Linked DNA regions of Xenopus tropicalis. The protein of the gene in region 1 purifies or fractionates together with the protein of each later gene. This does not show direct contact. Links are inferred from orthologs where the notes say so. Each region holds a gene or a part of one and is shown in the gene's direction. Other genes may lie near its edges.

Region 1 (4,866 bases):
TAAATAACTGCAAAGTGGGGTGTGCGTAATTATTCAGCCCCCTTTTGGTCTGAGTGCAGTCAGTTGCCCATAGACATTGCCTGATGAGTGCACCTGTGTGTAATCTAATGTCGGTACAAATACAGCTGCTCTGTGACAGCCTCAGAGGTTGTCTAAGAGAATATTGGGAGCAACACCACCATGAAGTCCAAAGAACACACCAGACAGGTCAGGGATAAAGTTATTGAGAAATTTAAAGCAGGCTTAGGCTACAAAAAGATTTCCAAAGCCTTGAACATCCCACGGAGCACTGTTTAAGCGATCATTCAGAAATGGAAGGAGTATGGCACAACTGTAACCCTACCGAGACAAGGCCGTCCCCCTAAACTCACAGGCCGAACAAGGAGAGCGCTGATCAGAAATGCAGCCAAGAGGCCCATGGTGACTCTGGGGGAGCTGCAGAGATCTACAGCTCAGGTGGGGGAATCTGTCCATAGGACAACTATTAGTCGTGCACTGCACAAAGTTGGCCTTTATGGAAGAGTGGCAAGAAGAAAGCCATTGTTAACAGAAAACCATAAGAAGTCCCGTTTGCAGTTTGCCACAAGCCATGCGGGGGACACAGCAAACATGTGGAAGAAGGTGCTCTGGTCAGATGAGACCAAAATTGAACTTTTTGGCCAAAATGCAAAACGCTATGTGTGGCGGAAAACTAACACTGCACATCACTCTGAACACACCATCCCCACTGTCAAATATGGTGGTGGCAGCATCATGCTCTGGGGGGGCTTCTCTTCAGCAGGGACAGGGAAGCTGGTCAGAGTTGATGGGAAGATGGATGGAGCCAAATACAGGGCAATCTTGGAAGAAAACCTCTTGGAGTCTGCAAAAGACTTGAGACTGGGGCAGAGGTTCACCTTCCAGCAGGACAACGACCCTAAACATAAAGCCAGGGCAACAATGGAATGGTTTAAAACAAAACATATCCATGTGTTAGAATGGCCCAGTCAAAGTCCAGATCTAAATCCAATGGAGAATCTGTGGCAAGATCTGAAAACTGCTGTTCACAAACGCTGTCCATCTAATCTGACTGAGCTGGAGCTGTTTTGCAAAGAAGAATGGGCAAGGATTTCAGTCTCTAGATGTGCAAAGCTGGTAGAGACATACCCTAAAAGCCTGGCAGCTGTAATTGCAGCAAAAGGTGGTTCTACAAAGTATTGACTCGGGGGGCTGAATAATTACGCACACCCCACTTTGCAGTTATTTATTTGTAAAAAATGTTTGGAATCATGTACGATTTTCGTTCCACTTCTCACGTGTACACCACTTTGTATTGGTCTTTCACGTGGAATTCCAATAAAATTGATTCAGGTTTGTGGCTGTAATGTGACAAAATGTGGAAAAGTTCAAGGGGGCCGAATACTTTTGCAAGCCACTGTATGTATTGTGAAAGACAGCAGACTGTTGGTGTTTGTACAGTATGCTTAATAGGATGCTGTCGTAAAAACAATTCAAATATTGGGTTAAAATTTAATGTTAGTGTACTTCCTTTCATTTATAGGATTATAGCTGCATTAGAAAATTAGTCATAATCCTTAACTAAGTGATTTAAATATTTTTTTAGGCTAATGTTAGGTGTGTTTTGACTATTGCTGTCATCAGGCATTAAAAAGTGTCAGTCAAAATGCTTTTCTCTATCTGAGGGAAACAATATGTCCAAAGAATGTCTGATATTAGCATTACATTCAAATATATTAATTTAAAAACAATCCTTTCTAAAAATTCCCTTTTAGAGCTATGTGAATCTATTGCAATGATTTATGCTTGTTATGATTTTAATGTTTTGTTCCGATATTCGTCTAGGCAAATGGTTTGTAAGTACTGGAAAGGATAATCTTCTTAATGCTTGGCGAACCCCATATGGAGCCAGTATATTCCAGGTAGGTATTTCCCCTATGCTTGCTAATCAATTATAAGCCTTCTCTATGAATGTCACTTATAAATGGATTCGTAAATGTAGAATAAAGCTAAATAGAAGGAATGCTTCTTGTAAACATCTGTGTGGGGGGGGATATGTGTATATATTTACAGCGTGACTTTTTTACATGACCGCTTTTTTTTATAGTACAAACTTCTGTTTTGGTAATTAATGACCCATATGATGAAAGGAGTCTATGAAGATGTTATTAGATTGCTCCAAGTTACTTTTCAGGCCTCAGTGTTCATTCTTGTGTGGCTTAAGGCATAATGCATCATTTAATATAGAGAACATAGGTTAGGCCAAAGGTTTCCAACATTTTGTGCTCTGTAAGGCACATTTAGGACCAAATTGCTTGGTTATAGAAATGTCTCTTGGCTGCCTTAAAGGACATGTAAACCCCACACACAAAAATGTAATCAGTGAGCAGCCTCTTTGAAATCTTTCAATACCTGACACTCTGGTTTCCAGAGGTTAATAGTAAGGCTGCAACATCTCCTTAATCACTTAGATTTCCTTCTCCTCCTGTAACCCACTCGGCCCCCTCCCTCAGGAATTTGCTTTGACTTCTGGCTTGTGGGCATGCTCAGTTGTTCTAAGCTCAGATTAATAAACACGCCCTCCAGTCTAGCAGCTAGTGAAGAGATGGCATTGCTGGTTCCCATAGAAACTCAGCTCTAGCTGTCTGCTTCAATATTTTTCTCCTAACCTCCTCTCCTGAGCTCAGCTCAAACAAAGCAGAACTTTTATCAAAGACTGTTCTGCCTGTGTGAGCCTGTATTATTGATGAAATGTATGCTGAATAATGGTCTGTGTGTGTATCTGCTGTCTGCAGATTTAAATGTATCAGAGAAAAAATGGCCACTGGGTGAAAGCTGCTATTTGCTTTAGGGAAATGTGATGGTGCTAGCAAACGGAGGGGATATATGCAGTACAAATGATGCCATTTGGGTGGGAGAGACGTGCCTAACTGATATACATTGTAGGCAAATGTAGGCTTTACATGTCCTTTAAGCAATCTCTAGCTGACTGTATACTTGCTTGGTGTCTGCTGCTAGTTTATTGTAACAGGGGACAACCTATTACTTGCGAGCCACAACGCGGTGGATCCCTGGTTAGACTAGCCAAGCCTTATTATTGTAAAAGTGAAGTTCACATGCACTTAAGCAATGCAGCATATTGTGTAATAAAAAGAAAGTGGATAAAGTGGTCTAACATATAGATTCCTGGTAGCCCTTTGCATTCTGTCCATTATTGCTGCAGCAGTCACACAGAATAATTCTGCATTGCTGCTCTGGGAGATTCCTTGTTATCATTAAATAACTGAAGGTTAAAGTTCAGAGGATCCCTACTGCAATATAATAGCTCTGTGTTCTTCTTTCCCACAGTCCAAAGAATCCTCATCTGTACTGAGCTGCGATATCTCTATCGATGACAAATACATTGTCACTGGGTCAGGGGACAAGAAGGCCACAGTCTATGAAGTCATCTACTGAAAGTGATGGCAGCTTCACTACCTTTCTTATGGATTTTCCCTGGCCAAAATGTTTACTAGTTTGGAAAAGAGACACATTATTAGAATCGAAAGAAGGAAAGAAGTGACTTTGATTGTGGATTATGAACTTTTTTTTGTTTCCTACTGGCACAAATAGTGCAAACAACTTCCTGAACATATAAACTGCCTAGAACAAACTAATATGAGGGAGGTGGATCAGAAATGTCTTAACAAGTCTGCTGACTTTTTTTTGTTCTTTTTTTAATGTGACGGACACAGGTGTTAACCTTAACGTAAGGGTAACTCCAGATTAGCAATTTACTTCTGGTAAGCCAAATTTTTGTCCCTATGGCTGTTGTGAGCTACATTTCTCAGTGAAGTCCCTCTTAGTCTGCGAATTGATGTTCCTGACAGCTGGAGGGCTATGAATTTGACATCCTGCTATACTTCGCAAAACAGTGTTTTTTTTTTTTTTTTTGTGATTTTTTTTTTGTACTTCGGTTTAAGGTCAAGCATTTGTAAAAAATGTAAATATATTTGGTTTGCTACAGTAAAGGCTTTAGTACCAACTGACCTTTTTTTTTTTTTTTTTTTCTAACTGTCAATATGTAAATGTAAATCCCATGGTGTATATAGGATTTGTAATTATCTGCCATTGCAAAGGTTGTGAAGTTCTATTCATATTTTACTACACTGTGATAGGTTTAGGCAAGTTGTAAATGTTGTTATAAATATGAGCTGCCATCATTGGAGATCTGTTTTAGTTGCGTATGGGATGAATTGAAGTTTGTCCTGTTCCTCCTTTCTAACAATTTGTTTAGCTTTCTCTTTTTACTCGATTGCTAGAACCATTTACATAAGCCCTGTCAGATCATCATGCCATTCTAACTTGAGAGATCTGTTAAAAGCAGACTATCTGCTGGTACTTAGCTTGGGGAGTATCAGGGTTCTTTAATTGTGTATATATAAAATTAAAGCCTATTTCTCATATTTTTAGCCCTGTATGCTTTAATTGTTCCCAACATTTTATGCCTTGAAGGGAGAATTAAAGAAGGTGCTTGACTCCATCTAGAATAATTTGGTTAAATGGAATCTCCCAAGAGCAAATGACATATCTGGTACGCTTCACTGAATGGATTGAGTGATTAAAGTTCTGACCTAGTATTTCTTCATTTTCACCTGGTAGGGGCCTTTTGCTGGCAACTCCGTGGGTTGTTTTTTTTTTTTTTTTTTCTTTCTTTTCTTTCATGAGCCTTTGTAACAAGCCATAATGAGCTGCTTGTTCATGTTATGTATACATGCGTGGTTTCTTTAATTCTGCTCAACATCCAAATTAAAATCTTTTAATTATGTCCTTTTGCACTCAAAATATTTTCTTCTTTTTGTTGATTTCTTGGTACCTGATAATTAGTTT
Region 2 (4,822 bases), on another chromosome or scaffold:
CTATCTATCTATCTATCTATTTATCTATCTATCTATCTATCTATCTAATTATCTATCTATGTATCATCTATCTATCTGTCCAATCTATCTTCTGTCTTTCTATCTATACATAGGGCCTGTGCTCTATCATCTATCTATCTATCTATCTATCTATCTATCTATCTATCTATCTATCTGCTGTCTGTCTGTCTGTCTGTCTATGATGTACGTCTATCTATACATGGAAATATTTAAATATATATAGTAATATATATTATTATATATAGGTCTATGCTGTCTGTCTATACATAGATGTATTTATACATATATATATATAGCACACAAAGCCTGAGAGGCAGATGAGTGGCACATTCTGCTGCAGATGATTTTTCCTATAGAAATAATCAAGGCTACTGGTGTGTATCATGCATACATAATATTAATCATTCCATACGTGGCACCACAATCAAGGCAAGATTGGAAATTCAGACTCATGAATTTATAATATTAACCATTCTGCAGAGTTGGTATAATCATAGCGCGGAATCTGAGAAAACACTAAGAAATAAAGCAAAAGAAATCAAGCCTCCTTCCCTCCCTTATTGCTAGAAAGGCCACTGAAGGTGCAGCTGGCCCATTTGACAGTCAAAAAAGGGGGTGAGGGGAATTCCTGGTTGGGAAAGTAACGTATTTGTACAATTAGGAGGGAAAACAGCACTGATTTCAATGCCTGATGATATTAACCGTTCTACAGAATTAGTTTAATCATAGCATGGAATCAGAAAAAAACACTCAGAATAAGGCAAAAGAAACAAGCCCCCCCTCCTCTTGTTAGAAAAGGCACTGAAGGTGCAGCTGGCCCATCTAACAGTGAAAAGGGGGGCATTCCTGATTCAGATAGTAACATTTGCGCAATTAAGGCAAAACGCACAGATTTTACTGCCTTATAGCATCTATCCGTTAGTGCCCCCTCCCTGGTGTGGCCTGAACCCAGCCAAGCGCCTACTAAACAGGGGCCGACAGATCCATGCTCCTAAAATAATCCCCCCAAGCAGAGACTCATTACACACATTGTTACGTATTAGAACAAATAAATAAATAACATCTCGATTCAACATTCGGCGCACAATGTTACATTGTGTAAATCAAATCGCTACAATCGCTCAGAAAATCCTCAGTCCCCCAAGGCTGGCAAAGTAGTCCCTTGATTCTTCCACTTTCTTCCCTCCATGGTTATTTTCTCCCTAAAAAGAAAAAAAAAGGTATAAACAAACTTTAATCAATAAGAGAAAATATTGACGTATAAAAGTGAGATGGTCCAATACAGTGGGATGAAAGCAATGGCAGATATTTGGTAGGGAAAGAAGGAGAGGGGGGAGGAGAGGTAAAGAGATTCCCTCCCATATCCCTCCGCAAGGCAAAGGAGTTGGGGGGGGAGGGAGAGTGAGAAAGAGGGAGGGAAGAAACTTTGGGTGGGTCCTTGGAAGTATGTGCCATGTGATTGGCTGGAGGAGTAAGGAACGTTCTTGCACTCTGAGCTCTCCCATTGGTTCCAAGATGCAAAGGTTAAAGCAAATTCTTCTTTTTTCCCCAGGCTGGTGTCTCTGGGTCTGGAATTAATTGTAGCTATAGCTGTCTACTCTAGATGCACAGAGGGGACGCTTGTTGTGTTTATTTTGAAGGGACATGAAATAGTTTGCTGCATTCTCTCCCCTGGCTCGCACCCTGATTATATTTATATGTATATGTATTTACAGCCCTTTAATTGACGCCAATATTATGTGCGTTTGGTTTTTTGCTTCATGACTTACAAGTGTTTGGAGACGGTGGTGCGACAGAGCTGCTGCTGCTGCTGCGGCTGCTTCCTACTGCTGCGACTTGACTCGAGTGTCCGGCTCCAATCCTTGTGATATGTTGGACATGGGGGATAGGAAGGAAGTTAAAATGATCCCCAAGTCGTCGTTCAGTATCAACAGCCTAGTGCCTGAAGCCGTGCAAAATGACAACCATCCCCAGCCGCACCATCACCACCACCACCACCTGCAACTGCCGCAGCAGTCGCACCATCTCCAGCCCCACCACCGGCCGCTACAGGAGGAGGACGAGCTGGACAAGAGCCTCCTGGAAGTGAAGACAGAGAGCCTCCCCCCGGGTAAGGGAGACCCGGCTGCCTCCGAGCTGCCCGGGGAGGACAAGGAGAAGAGTGAGGACAAGAAGGCGGATGGTGGCGGCGGCAAAGATGGGGAGAATGGGAAGGAAGGGGGCGAGAAGAAGAACGGCAAGTACGAGAAGCCCCCCTTTTCCTACAATGCCCTGATCATGATGGCTATCCGCCAGAGCCCGGAGAAGCGCCTCACCCTCAATGGCATCTACGAGTTCATCATGAAGAACTTCCCCTACTACCGGGAGAACAAGCAGGGCTGGCAGAACTCCATCCGCCACAACCTCAGCCTCAACAAGTGCTTCGTCAAGGTGCCCCGCCACTACGATGACCCCGGCAAGGGCAACTACTGGATGTTGGACCCCAGCAGCGACGATGTGTTCATTGGTGGGACCACTGGGAAACTGCGCAGGAGATCTACCACCTCCAGGGCTAAACTGGCGTTCAAGCGGGGAGCCAGGCTCACCTCCACCGGGCTGACATTTATGGATAGAGCCGGCTCCCTGTACTGGCCTATGTCCCCTTTCCTTTCCTTGCACCACCCCCGGGCCAGCAGCGCCCTCAGCTACAATGGGACCACCTCAGCCTACCCTAGCCACCCCATGCCCTACAGCTCAGTCTTGACTCAGAACTCACTGGGGAGCAACCATTCTTTTTCTACGTCGAATGGCTTGAGCGTAGACAGACTGGTCAACGGAGAGATCCCTTATGCCACCCACCATCTCACTGCAGCCGCCCTGGCTGCCTCGGTGCCATGTGGCCTCCCGGTGCCTTGCTCGGGCACCTACTCCCTTAACCCTTGCTCTGTCAACCTTCTCGCTGGACAAACGGGCTACTTTTTCCCCCATGTACCTCACCCCTCTATAACCTCTCAAAGCAGCACTTCTATGGCAGCCAGGGCGGCTTCCTCTTCCACCTCCCCCCAGGCTCCCTCCACTCTGCCCTGTGAGTCCCTCAGACCTGCCTTGCCAAGCTTCACAACAGGACTCTCAGGAGGACTCTCAGATTATTTCACACATCAAAATCAGGGCTCTTCGTCCAACTCTTTGATACATTAACATCACCCTGGGACAAGACTGTAAGTGAACGTTTTACACACATTTCCATTGTACATGAGAAGTGAAAGGAAAAAAAAAAAAAAAGCAAGCGAACAAAAAAACAAAAAAAAAAATCCATAAAAAGACAAGTCCAGGTATTTTTTATGAAGTCCCCCTTATTTTCTGTACGTTTGTTGAGTCTCTAGGCTTCTGTATTGCTGAGATAAGGTGTGGTGTCCAAGCAAGTGGGTCAGACTGCTGACCCTTGTCTTATGTGACTCTAAACTAGTGACTGCTCTGCATTCTACTTCTGTTAGCAGCCCCCCCAGTCCCATGTCTGCAGTATTATTACTGGATCTAGCTCGGCAAAAATATTCCTTAATGATCAGCAACCAATACTAAAACTATCTACTCTCAGCAACTTGCAAATGCTAATTTGTATTTAACTGTCATTTCAATAAATATATCTATTTTTTGCCCATTAAATATGTATCCTTTCATCATGACACAAAAAAAAATAAAGGAGCTGGGTTTTTTGTTTACTTTTAGACCAAAGATTGGGTTGTAGATCATGCAGTCAGCCTACTGATACATAACAAAAAGAGAATAATAATAATATTAAATTCCATCAGTTTTCAGCACTGTCCATTCAGAAAGGGAAAAAAAAAATACTAGAAAAAATACAAGTTCTAGGGGGAAACTGAATACTGCCTTTAATTTGTGTTGTGTAGATTTCGATGTATGTGCTCACTAACCGGTCGGTTACCTTATTTTATTTTATTTTTCTTCCTATTTTATTTTTTTTTTTAATGTAGTGAAACGTTAAAGAAAAAAAAACGATTGTACTTCTAGGTAAAACCTTGCAAAATATGTATAACCCGTGTTGAGTAAAATGCATAAATTTGAGTGATTGTAATTGTTGTCTTTAAATCTCTTGATTGTGAAAATGTGGTCATATGCCCGTGTTTGTCACTTATACAAAATGTTTACTATGAAGACACAAGAAATAAACAAAAAAAATCAAAAATAGGCCAAATTCCTATAGAATACAGTTTTGTCTTTTGTCTATTAAATTAAATGTATTTGTGGGGTGGGGGTGGGGGGGAATAAACAGGGAACTCACAAAGTTCAAAGTAGGCCCTAACGTTATCCTGTTACATGGATTCGTATATATTCAATTATAGAGAAAGATGGGCGCATTGATAAATGCAGTATGTTTTATATGAGGGTTATACATCTGCACATCTTTGTCTGCATCATATATGTAACACACGTGTGTTTGTCTGTGTGTATATATTTGCTTTACAAAAACGTTGCTCCTCTTTAACTTAATTATGTATAATATAGATGTATATAAATATGTATATGTATAAATATATATATATACATTGAGTTACATATATATATATATGAATTCAATATAAATGAATTACATGGAGCAGATTTTGTAAATACAACTCAGATATATACACACTCTATATTCTATATGACAGTCTAAATTACTAACTTACTGGGGTTTATTTATGGTCACATTTCTATTTATGGCTTGACTTTCATTTTCAATGGTTATGATGCAATAGGAAAGCAAAGTTGCTGTTAATATATTTATGTCTACATATCTATCTATCTATTTATCATCTATCTG

Evidence for each region. Proteins that work in one complex are often made in the same cells at the same time.
Region 2: the proteins of tle1 (region 1) and foxg1 purify together in Homo sapiens (affinity purification with western blotting; 3 studies listed by BioGRID and IntAct, with this or other methods). This does not show direct contact. The link is inferred for Xenopus tropicalis from reciprocal best matches to the Homo sapiens genes TLE1 and FOXG1.

What each region holds. Positions count from the first base shown.
Region 1 is NC_030677.2:133,429,400-133,434,265, reverse strand, and holds the end of tle1 (transducin-like enhancer protein 1), read left to right. Parts: intron 1-1,842; coding exon 1,843-1,919; intron 1,920-3,345; coding exon 3,346-3,453; 3' UTR 3,454-4,812; downstream 4,813-4,866. UniProt on the Homo sapiens protein: Transcriptional corepressor that binds to a number of transcription factors. Inhibits NF-kappa-B-regulated gene expression. Inhibits the transcriptional activation mediated by FOXA2, and by CTNNB1 and TCF family members in Wnt signaling.
Region 2 is NC_030684.2:112,467,428-112,472,249, forward strand, and holds foxg1 (forkhead box protein G1), read left to right. Parts: upstream 1-1,639; 5' UTR 1,640-1,899; coding exon 1,900-3,198; 3' UTR 3,199-3,311; downstream 3,312-4,822. UniProt on the Homo sapiens protein: Transcription repression factor which plays an important role in the establishment of the regional subdivision of the developing brain and in the development of the telencephalon.